2 linked regions of the Caenorhabditis elegans genome follow. The protein of the gene in region 2 purifies or fractionates together with the protein of the main gene of each other region. This does not show direct contact. Each region holds a gene or a part of one and is shown on either strand. Other genes may lie near its edges.

The links. The genes of interacting proteins can lie anywhere in the genome.
Region 1: the proteins of vps-33.2 (region 2) and Y95B8A.4 fractionate together in Caenorhabditis elegans (co-fractionation; one large-scale study listed by BioGRID). This does not show direct contact.

What each region holds. Positions count from the first base shown.
Region 1 is NC_003279.8:905,918-911,734, reverse strand, and holds Y95B8A.4 (Protein EMP46), read right to left. Parts: upstream 4,288-5,817; 5' UTR 4,243-4,287; coding exon 4,176-4,242; intron 2,494-4,175; coding exon 2,315-2,493; intron 2,056-2,314; coding exon 1,895-2,055; intron 1,845-1,894; coding exon 1,602-1,844; intron 795-1,601; coding exon 602-794; 3' UTR 546-601; downstream 1-545.
Region 2 is NC_003280.10:6,599,205-6,603,981, forward strand, and holds vps-33.2 (Vacuolar protein sorting-associated protein 33B), read left to right. Parts: upstream 1-2,011; 5' UTR 2,012-2,119; coding exon 2,120-2,219; intron 2,220-2,269; coding exon 2,270-2,394; intron 2,395-2,444; coding exon 2,445-3,828; intron 3,829-3,882; coding exon 3,883-4,012; intron 4,013-4,060; coding exon 4,061-4,175; 3' UTR 4,176-4,247; downstream 4,248-4,777. Other genes in the region: epg-5 (Ectopic P granules protein 5), read right to left, coding at 1-112, 160-315, 364-441, 491-1,446, 1,500-1,750, 1,796-1,926, 4,248-4,356, 4,451-4,537 and 1 more. UniProt on the Caenorhabditis elegans protein: Plays a role in vesicle-mediated protein trafficking to lysosomal compartments and in membrane docking/fusion reactions of late endosomes/lysosomes.

The DNA.
Region 1 (5,817 bases), on a different chromosome or scaffold from region 2:
AAATTGTAGAAACTCTTAAGATTTTGGCAAAAGAGCGTGGTTTATTCCTTCACGTGGTGTCAGGTTGTCCGGTTTGATCTTCAAAAAAGCGGGAATTTGTTGCAAAATCAGTGGAGAACTCAGCGTCCTAAATCCCGCATTTTTTGTAGATCTACACAGTAGATCAAACCGAAATTGGGGGCACGTGTCTGCGCTATCATCTTTTTGGCTTGAATAATTTGAATTTGGCTTATTCATGTCCACGACCCCCTGCAAGTTGACCTATAAGATTCCCGCAATTTTTGGAGGTCAAAAATTGAGGGGTTCACCTATAGTACTGTAGGATAACGGTACATAACATGTTGTATCTCATTTCTACATGTACACGTGATGCCAGACGTCCCATCACGGTTTGATCTACAAAAAATGCCGGAATTTTCGCCCAAAAAATATGTGACGTCAGCACGTTCTTAACCATGCAAAATCAGTTCCCGCATTTTTTGTAGATCAACGTAGATCAAACCGAAATAATCCACTCTGACACCACATGCATATATGCAAAAAAATTTTTTTTTTTTTTTTTTTCAATTCCTTTATTTCAACACAGATAGACTAAAAAGTTCTATTTCGCCTGCTTCTCAGTCTTCTCAGTCTTCTCATCAGTCTCATCCGATTCCTGCTTCTGATCTCCATTCTTCACCGTCGAGTTGAACTTCTTGAAATACTTGAAAAAGAACAAAAAAACGATGGCGTTGACGATCACTACCATACCGAAACCGAGGTGAATGAACGAGAGACGTGCCCAAGAGTAGATTCTGAAACAATGCATTTCGGTTTGATCTTCAAAAAACGCGGGAATTTTGCGGCCGGAAAAATGTGACGTCACACGCTTTTTGTGGTGCGAAACTACTCGAAAACTGATAAAACCGAGACTCTGCACGGGCTTCTGTGGCTTCCCTCATCTTGTTTTTCCACGTGGTGTCCGGCTGTCCTAATCCGGTTTGATTTACAAAAAATGCGGGAGTTTTTCTTCCAGAAAAATGTGACGTCAGAACACTTTTAACCATGCGAAATCAGTTGAGAAGTCGGTGTCTCTCGTCTCCCGCATTTATCAAAGATCAAACCATAATTGGAGACTTTGACACCACGTGTTTTTCGCGCTCCATTGACAATCGCCTGCTGGACCGAACCGCGACGCTCGTCTCGTACAAGAGGGAAACCAGAGAGCGCCGTTTGAACTCGGCGAGCAATCGCGCTCTAGCGCGCAAAACAAGCGGCAACCCCGGAATTTCAAAACTTTTCGGGTGTTTTCCAGTGGAGCGCGATTGCTCAGCGATTTTTTTGTTGCAAAAACTCACGGAATCTGAATCGATACCTGGCGTACGCAAGTGTCGATAAATATGCGAAAATCACGAGCCGCGACGCGACACGCAACGCAACGCGCCGTAAATCGACTCCGAATTCGGCAAGCTCTTCCATTTCAAAATATGAGGACCTCGCTGCTTGACCTCCAAATTTGCGGTAAACTTACACGAGGCTGACTCTCGCAATTTTCAGAGATCAAACGACGCGGTGTCCTCAGCGGAAGCGGAACATCGGAGTATCGTTTGGCACAAACTCACTCGCTACGTTGTTTAAGTCTCCGAGTATCCTTCAGCGTCTGTGTCCACTCCGTCGAGTTATTCACCGCCGCCGCTCTTTTCGTCCGAATTTTCTGGCACTTTTTCAGCTTCTTCCCCGAATTCTCATCAATCAGCGCTGCTTCCCTCTTCGATTTTTTCGACTTTAAAACTCGCGGTTTCGACTGATCCCCAAACACGATCAACGCACTCTGACTGTTCGCTGGAGCGCAGATGAAGTATACGCTGAAAAAATGGTTGCGATGGAGCGATATTGCATCTCCAAGCCTGCTAACCGAATAAAGTGATTCAAATCGGGTTTGATGGTGGTTCCGGTGTATGACAGCTGATATTTATCACCGTTTTTCATGAAATAGTAGCTTCTCATCCAAAAATTGATCACAAGAAAGTGTTCCGTATTGTTGAATTCAAGGACACGCAGAGCTTGTTCGGCACCCTGAAAAAGAATCGATAAAATCGTTACGAGACACAAATTGAATTTTTCGCGCTCCATTGGCAATCGCCCGTGTACTCCACACGGACAAATACATTCAGTTTTACAACTAAAATCGAGCCGCGACGCGACACGCAACGCGCCGTAAATCTACCCCAGATATGGCCGGGGCCTAGTTCGGCAAAAACTCTTCCATTTCAATTTATGAGGGAAGCCCGAAATCCGTGGGAAATCGCGTCGAGACCCGTAAAAAAAGTCTCACAGTCTCATATCCGTTTGTCAGATTCTTCAATCGATTTCCGAAGCTCATAAGAATTCCTTTTCCTTCGAGATCATTTTCCCTCCACTTTGGCGATTGTCCGTCATCGATAAAAAGAAATTGGCGTGGCGAGTTCACATTTTCCTTCTCCAAAATCGCCTGGTCCTCTTTGATACACGTGTCTGAAAGGGTAAATGTCGTGGCGGGACCCGCAAAAAAATGCACGGGCTTCTGGCCTCGCATTTTCGCGCTCCATTGGCAATCGCCTGCCGGACGGGAGAGTCGTGTACTCCACACGGACAACTACATTTAGTTTTACAACTAAAATCGATCCGCGACGCGACACGTAGCGCGCCGTAAATCTACCCCGGTCGTGGCCGCGCCAAAATGACCTAGTTCGGCGAAAACTCTTCCATTTCAATTTATGGGGGAAACCAGAAGCGCGTGCGCTATTTGAAATCGGTGAGCAATCGCGCTCCAGCGCAAAAAAAAACGGCAAACCCGGAATTTCAGAAATTTTCCGTTATTTTCACTGTTTTTAATGATTTCACAGTCTCCTCGGCGTCGAATTGGGCTGGGGCGCACTTGCACATTGGCACAGCCGGGGGAGGGAGTGAATCTTTTTAGTGTTGAAAAATAAACTTCGTCGTTTTTTAGCGTTGAAACGAATTTTTTCGCAGATTTCGAACTTAACATTTGTTTATTAGCACAAAATGAAATGAAAGACCATTAAAAGAGAAAATTTGGTCAAAAACTGAAGGAGGAGTAGGGATATTAAAAAATCAACGGTAAAAATGGTGTTTCTCTGAAGAAATCATATTTTTCTTGTATATTTCAAGTCACCCACCTTCGCGATCATCTTCTTCATCCTGAAGATAATTATCAAAAGAGGCGGGGCTGTAATTTTGGAATTCTAGCCTATTTTCCGCGTAATTTCTGAATTTCGGAGAAATCCACAAAATGCGCTAGCAAAAACGCGAAACGCGCCAGTAAGCAGTTTTTTGTGCGCTTTCGATGACGAGGAGACTGTGGATTTTCACATAAAAACCATAAAAACGACGAAACAAAAAGTGAAAATGTACAAAAACTTCACTCATATGGGCTACTTATACGGCGGGCTTCTGGCCTTGCATTTTCGGCGCTCCATTGGCAATAACCTGCTGGACAACGCGTGGGAAAGTCGCGTGTACTCCACACGGACAAATACATTTAGTTTTACAATCAAAATCGAGCCGCGAGGCGACACGCGACGCGCCGTAAATCTACCCGCCGACCCAAAATGGCCTAATTCGGCAAACTCTTCCATTTCAAATTAAGAGGGAAGCCAGAGTGCGCCGTTTGAACTCGGTGACCAATCGCGCTCTAGCGCAAAGCAAGCGCCAAACCCGGAATATCGAAAATTTTTAATTATTTTCGCCGTTTTTATTGATTTTCACATAAAAACCGTTAAAAACGACGAAAAAAAAGTGAAAATGAACAAAAACTTCACTCATACGGGCTTCTGGCCTTGCATTTTCGGCGCTCTATTGACAATCGTCTACGCGTGGGAAAGGCGTGGTCCACCTAACCGCGACGCGGCACGCAACGCGCCGTAAATTGACCCCAGCCGTGGCCGCACCAAAATAGCCTAATTCGGCAAACTCTTCCATTTCAAAATAAGAAGGGCGCTTGAACTCAGTGAGCAATCGCGCTCTAGCGCAAAAAAAGCGGCAAACCCGTAAATTTCAAAGTTTTCGCTGTTTTTATTGATTTTTCCTCGCTTTTCGTCTTAAAATCATAGAAAGCGACGCAAAATTTTGGCCTTTTTTTGAAGTTTCGCGCTGGAGCGCGATTGCTTAGCGATATTTTGTTGTAAAAAACTCACGGAATCTGAATCGATACCTCGCGTACGCAAGTGTCGATAAATATGCAAAAACCACCAAAAAGCGCATTACGTTCTCAATTTACAAAAACAAGGACTGAATTCTTCCGAAATTAATTTTTTTTGGAGAGGCAGGGTGGGGGGACAAGTTTTTCACGCTAAAATTTTTTAAAAATATTTTTCAAATTTTTAAAAAGTTCGGAAATGTTTACTTTTTGAATCAAATGGGGGAATTGTTGTCGTTTAAGCGAATACAATAATAATAATAATATAAAATGACGCGATATTTCAGACAGTGAAAGGTTGTAGAGATATACCGGTAAAATGGATTGGTTTAGGCTTGGGCTTAGGCACGTGGTGTCAAGGTGTCATTTTGGATTGATCTACACGTTGATCTACAAAAAATGCGGGAGAAGAGACGCAGACTTTTCAGCAGAGGATTTCGCATGGTTACACGAGTGCGCTGACGTCAGATTTTCCCGGGGGAGGAAAGATTCCCTCATTTTTTGTAGATCACAAACCGCAATGAGACAACCTGACCACCACGTGAAACCAGGGGTGTGCGGCAAAAAATTCGATTTTTCAGAGAAAATTGGAAAATCAGAAAATTTTGGGATTTTGGTTTAGGAAAATCGGAAAATTTTGATTTTTTTGTCAGGGAAAATGGAAAATTTTGAATTTTTTTGACTTTTTTTCATGGAAATTCGAACATTTTTATTTATTTTTTTTAAAGGAAAAATTGAAGGAAAAATTTTTTTTCATTCAAAAACGAAAAATTTCGATTTTTCTGGAAAAAATCGACATTTTTTTATTTTTCTTGAAAAAATTCAAAAATTGAAATAATTGGATTTCTCCAGAAAAATAAATTGAACTTTTGGCTTTTCACTCTAAAAAACCCAAATTTTTCGATTTTTCCGTAATAAAAAATCAATAAATCAAAATTGTTCGAATTTTTCCTTAAAAATTGAAAATTTTTGGCTTTTTCCTGGAAAAAATCAATTTTTTTTTCGGTAAAAAAAAAATCAAAAAATGTCGAAATTTTTCGTTTTTTCCTCAAAAATCAATTTTTTAAAGTTTTTTTAAAGCAAAATTTGAAATTGTTAGGCTTTTTCCTGAAAAATCCAAATTTTTCCAATTTTTCTGAAAACAAATCCAAAAAATTCAAAATTTTTGGATTTTCCGGAAGAAGCCAAAAAAGAAAACATTAAATTTTCGATTTTTCCTGGACAAAATCGAAATTTTACGATTTCTTTTTTGGAAAAAGCCCCAAATTTTTCGAATTTTTCTGAAAATAATCGAGATTTTTTGATTTTTCCGGAATTAAAATCAGAAAAATTGGTTTTTTTTTTCGTTTTTTTAAACACAAATTGTAATTTTTTGGCTTTTTCCTGAAAAAATCCAAATTTTTCGAATTTTTTGTAAAAAATTTAAAAAATATCGAAATTTTTCGAATTTTCCGGAATAAAAATCGAAAAAAAAATTGAATTTTTGGCTTTTCCTCTAAAAAACCCAAATTTTTCGAATTTTTCGATTTTCAACGACACCCTTGGAATTTCAGGAAAAAAAAAGAAAAAAAAAGAGAATAACCGTAGCATTGAACAGCGGAGACGGGAGAGAAGAGTTGTGTGTGGTCAATACATAAATA
Region 2 (4,777 bases):
TGAACTTTGTTCTCTGATGATGGTACAGTCATGAGATATGATTTGATAGATTTCAAGCTTCCTGTGGGAAATTGAATCCAATGAAGAAGTTCTGCCCAGTTACTGTCCGTTCCTGAAGTACCAAAAATATAAATTAAGAGATTATAAAATCTCACTTACTTAGGAAGTAGGCACATATAACTTTTTCAATAACTTTCAATGCAGTTGTCAACTGATCAATGTTCAATGAATCGACTAAAGTATTGACAGATGTTAGAACAAGAGGAGAAGTTGGATTTGCAGCCAAATATTCCGACCATATAGATACAAGAGCTTCTGAATTTAAAAATTTGAATAAAGATGTCTATATATAAATTAATTTACCTCCTAGTTTGGCATCTGTGATATTCTTCCACATTGCTGTCAGTTCGCGAGTGACGACCCGGAATTCTCGTAGATTTGCTGTAGAGAAAAATTTAATGAAAAATTGAGTTTCTGGAAATATACTTACAGTGATTCAAGGCTAGTGCATTCACATCCGAAATTAGTGAATTGTAAGCTGCGGGAATTTGTGAGGACTCCGCTTTCAAAAGTAGAGAACTTTCGGTTTGAATCCACAACTTCTGTTTTTGAAGGGATACTTCGGAGAATGGCTCACGTACAACAAAACAACAGATTTTCCTCCATATAACTTGAATTACTGATACCATTTCCACGGGATTTGATAATGAATCCGAGGGCAAACATTTTGTTACAGCAGATGCTATTCCGGCAGCATCTTCCGGATAAATTTTATTCCAGTCAGATCGTAGCGAAAATGATTTGCAAAGCTCCAGCAACGATGCACGGACTTTATCATAATTTCGAGGACGAGCAGCAAGACGAACAAGTACTCCGAATAAAGAAGCCAAGTAGCTTGGTCTACTATCCTCGTGCATTGTTTGAAGAATATTGCTCCACGGAATACGAGCAACCATTTGTGAAATAAATGAAGCACAGTCTTGTGATCTTGTATCCAGACAATTTTCCATTGCTGTTATAGCGAGTCTTGATGGCCATAGAGCTTGCCAATTCAGTCGTACTAGTTGCCGTTCAATAACATCATAATAGTGTTGAGTCCCATGTGTCAGAATAGAAAGTTTTTCACAATAATACTGCCAAACCAATGACTGAATGTTCTGCATTCCAGGTGGTATACTTGAATTGAAATGAAGGGCAGATAGAAAGTCGACGAATCGATCGAGAACGAGCATTGCCTGAGCTTCATGGGAGGTCGAGAAAGGTGGGTGAGTTGGAGAGTATGGGGCGATCAATGGCGAAAATACTGCGGCAACACGGGTGAAATATTCATAACATTCTCTTTGCAGCACTGAAACTGACTTGTTGGGCTCGTATCCATCACGAATAGGCACAAAAAGGAACAGTTGCGCGAGACGAGTTACTGAATCCAAGTAACGAGACCATATTCTAAAAATAGAGTTTTCCAAAAAATAATAAAATGTACGATCATAAACACTTACCCATAGAAATTCGGAAGTTTTGTTCTTGCTTCATCCAATCGCTTAGACAATATTCTAGCACATTCATCAGCTTTGGCAGCTCCCAAGTCAAACGAATTTTTCTTCTTCAAGTAATCGTTTGCATCCAATTTATCAACAATAGCGTCCAAAAGTGAAGCAGGAGTTGAATTCGTGTTACATCCATCCAGAGTCAAGTCAAGTCCATTAACAATGTTATCCGGGAAATGGTGAAACACAAAGAAAATGACATGCTGAAAATAACCAGAATGTTTGTGTGTCTTCTTATATTATTTTACCTGTAAACACAATGCATGAAGTGGAGACGAAGGATCTGGTTGACTGGCAAGATTTGCAAATGCAATTGGCAAAAGAGCGGCGAATTGATGTGGAGGTAAGCCAGCGGCAGCTTGTTGCATGCCAAGGCGACCTGTAAGAAAACTTTTGATGTCTGCGTCTCTTCATCTTATATACTCTTTTCGCTCGTCAAGTATGCTGCCGTGTCTGCATGCATCACATTTCGCGGTTCAATGCAGAACGATAATATTACCACGCAGGAAGACTCAATTTATTTTATTTTATTTCCATGACTATATTTATTTGAAAAGTTCAAACAATCAACCATGGCACCGGGTACCGCCGAGCTGGAAATCGATGAGACTTTGCACTTGCTTCGGATGGTTATGCAAAGGGAATTCATACATTATTTAGAAACATTACCAGGTATTCAAATAATAGTTTTTTTTTCATTTTTGTGAATGTTATAATTTCAGGAACAAAAGAGCTTTTTATCGATAAATGTCTGTTAAGACCACTCGATATGATTGCCACATCATCAGATATGAAACGACACGGAGTGAAACGAATAATGCATTTTGATTTACAGAAATCACCACAGGTAAATAGTGAAGTCCAATTATATTTGGTAATTTTTGTTTTTTCTCAAAGGTTTGGAACATCGAAATCGATCAGCGAGTCTTCTTTCTAAGACCCAACGTAGAAAACGCCAGAAAAATTGTCGAGTACGTGGAAGAGTCAAGCGAAAACCGATCTATTTGTGTGATCTGGTGCAACAGGCAGTTAGAAGAATGCGATCTCGCTTTTGAATCGTCTGGAGTCATTGGACACATAACTCAACTTAGCCTGAATATGTGCCTTTTGCCGTTAGAAAGCGATTTATTTTCATTGCAACATGTGGAATCGGCGCAACCGGATCTTTTCTCTGTTGCCAACATGTTTGTAGCACTTCAAAATTTATACGGAGTAATCCCAACAGTCTACGGATTGGGATCTGAATCGAAGAATTTATGGAACCTAGTTCATGCACTGTGCTCTAGTAACGAACTTCGAGCTCGACCAGATCAACCAATTAGTCATTTATTCCTATTCGATCGTCAACTTGATCCGGTTCCTGTATTGTTGACCGGAGCATCTTACGAAGGTCTTCTTCATGAATTTTTTACCATTGATTGTGGGAAGCTTGCTTTCCCAGTAGATCTACGGAAACAAGTTCAAACTGGCCCATTGGATTTTGATTGGATCGAGATTAATCCGGAAGAAGACAAGGAGGCACATCAACAAAATAGAGGAGATACAGTGAAATTGGATAATTGTGAGGACATTTTTGCATCGATTCGAAACAAGCACGTCACAGCTGCCCTGGAGTTTTTACATTCCAAAGCGAAATCGATACAGAAAAGTATCGAAAAATCATCGATGATTGATGATGTTGCGGATTATAGAAACTTTGTTGAAAAAGACCTGAGAGCGCTCAAAAAGGATCACAAGCATTGTGAATTGCACATTAATGCATGCGAAATGATGATGAATAAAGTTAAAATGGAAGATTATCGAACCATGTTCAAATTAGAACACGAAATGCTACTCGGAACCGTAACCCATGAAGAGTATTTTGATTTTGTTTTTGAAAGAGTTCCGATGAGATCCTGTCGTGATGTGGTTCTATCGATGATGTCACTTGCATCTCTCAAATTAGACGGAGTTCCTGATGATACGTACAACGAATTCGTGGAAATGTATCTACAAAAGTACGGATACGAGCATATGTTCGAACTTCAGAATCTTCGAAATTCCCGTGTTATTTACGCCCGTCGACATATCGCACACGATCGGACTATTTCGGAACGTGCCAGGACATGGGAAACATTGGCAAGAAAGTTCAGAATCGTTAAGGGAAACGAGCCAATGGATATGTCAAATCCTTCTGATATGAGTTATGTTTTCGGTGCAAGAATTTCTCCCCTGCTTTGCAAAATCGTTGAAGATACAATAGATCATGGATGGAATCAAGCAGAATATGAACGAATTATTGGTAAGCAGTTTTAGTTTTTGATTCATAATTGAAACTAATACATATTTCTTACAGGAAAAGATAAAGTATTAGTCGAAGAGAATACATATATTGCGGCAGATCGTCGACCAGATAATCGTACTCGAAAAGCCATCATGGTCTTTGTCAACGGCGGAATTACCTATTGGGAAGTGGCAGCTTTACGGTGAGTACAAATTATAATTACAGCGAAAGAACAAAATGTTTCTTTCAGGCTGCTGGCGATTCAAAAGAACTTCAGAATTCTCATCTGCACAACGCATGTCATCAAAAAGCGAGAATATTTGGAAGTCAGAGCTAAAGACGCATCTTCGGTTTTTGGATCATAACGGGAATTAATGTATAATATAATATGGGTTTAGTTCTTCTGTTAAATAGAATCATAATAAATTATTGCTTACCTAACAATTGCAAAGCCATCTTGCTTCTTTCCGGCATTCTCACAGCGTCCGATAGCTTTCTATACGCTGTGCACAAATCGTCCGAATTGAGCACTTCTGGAGTGAAGACCTAAAATAATTAGATGAATCAAAAGTGCGGTGATTTTATGTTCCGCTTTGTTAATTCCCCCAACAAAACACCACTAATTAGAAATGCGATGTACCTCAACAAGAGGTTCAGAGAGTACAAATCCATCTAATGCCAGTTGCATGACGTCCATTTGCTCTTCGGGACGGAATTTGACATACTCCTGTAATAGAAAATAAATAGATGAAGAAGAAATTAAAATATCGCTTACTTCTCCCAAAGATCGGAGTGAATTACAAAATGAATCAGAAGCAACACTAAATAACAACTCATTCTCTCCAACAGAAGATGTTATAAGATAAAAGAGTGAATGTCCTGTGAGCTGCACATTATTTCTTGTTCCAGGATGCAATGCTGAAGTCATTTTAGCCACTAGAACAGATAGATGTTCGATGCTTGCAGT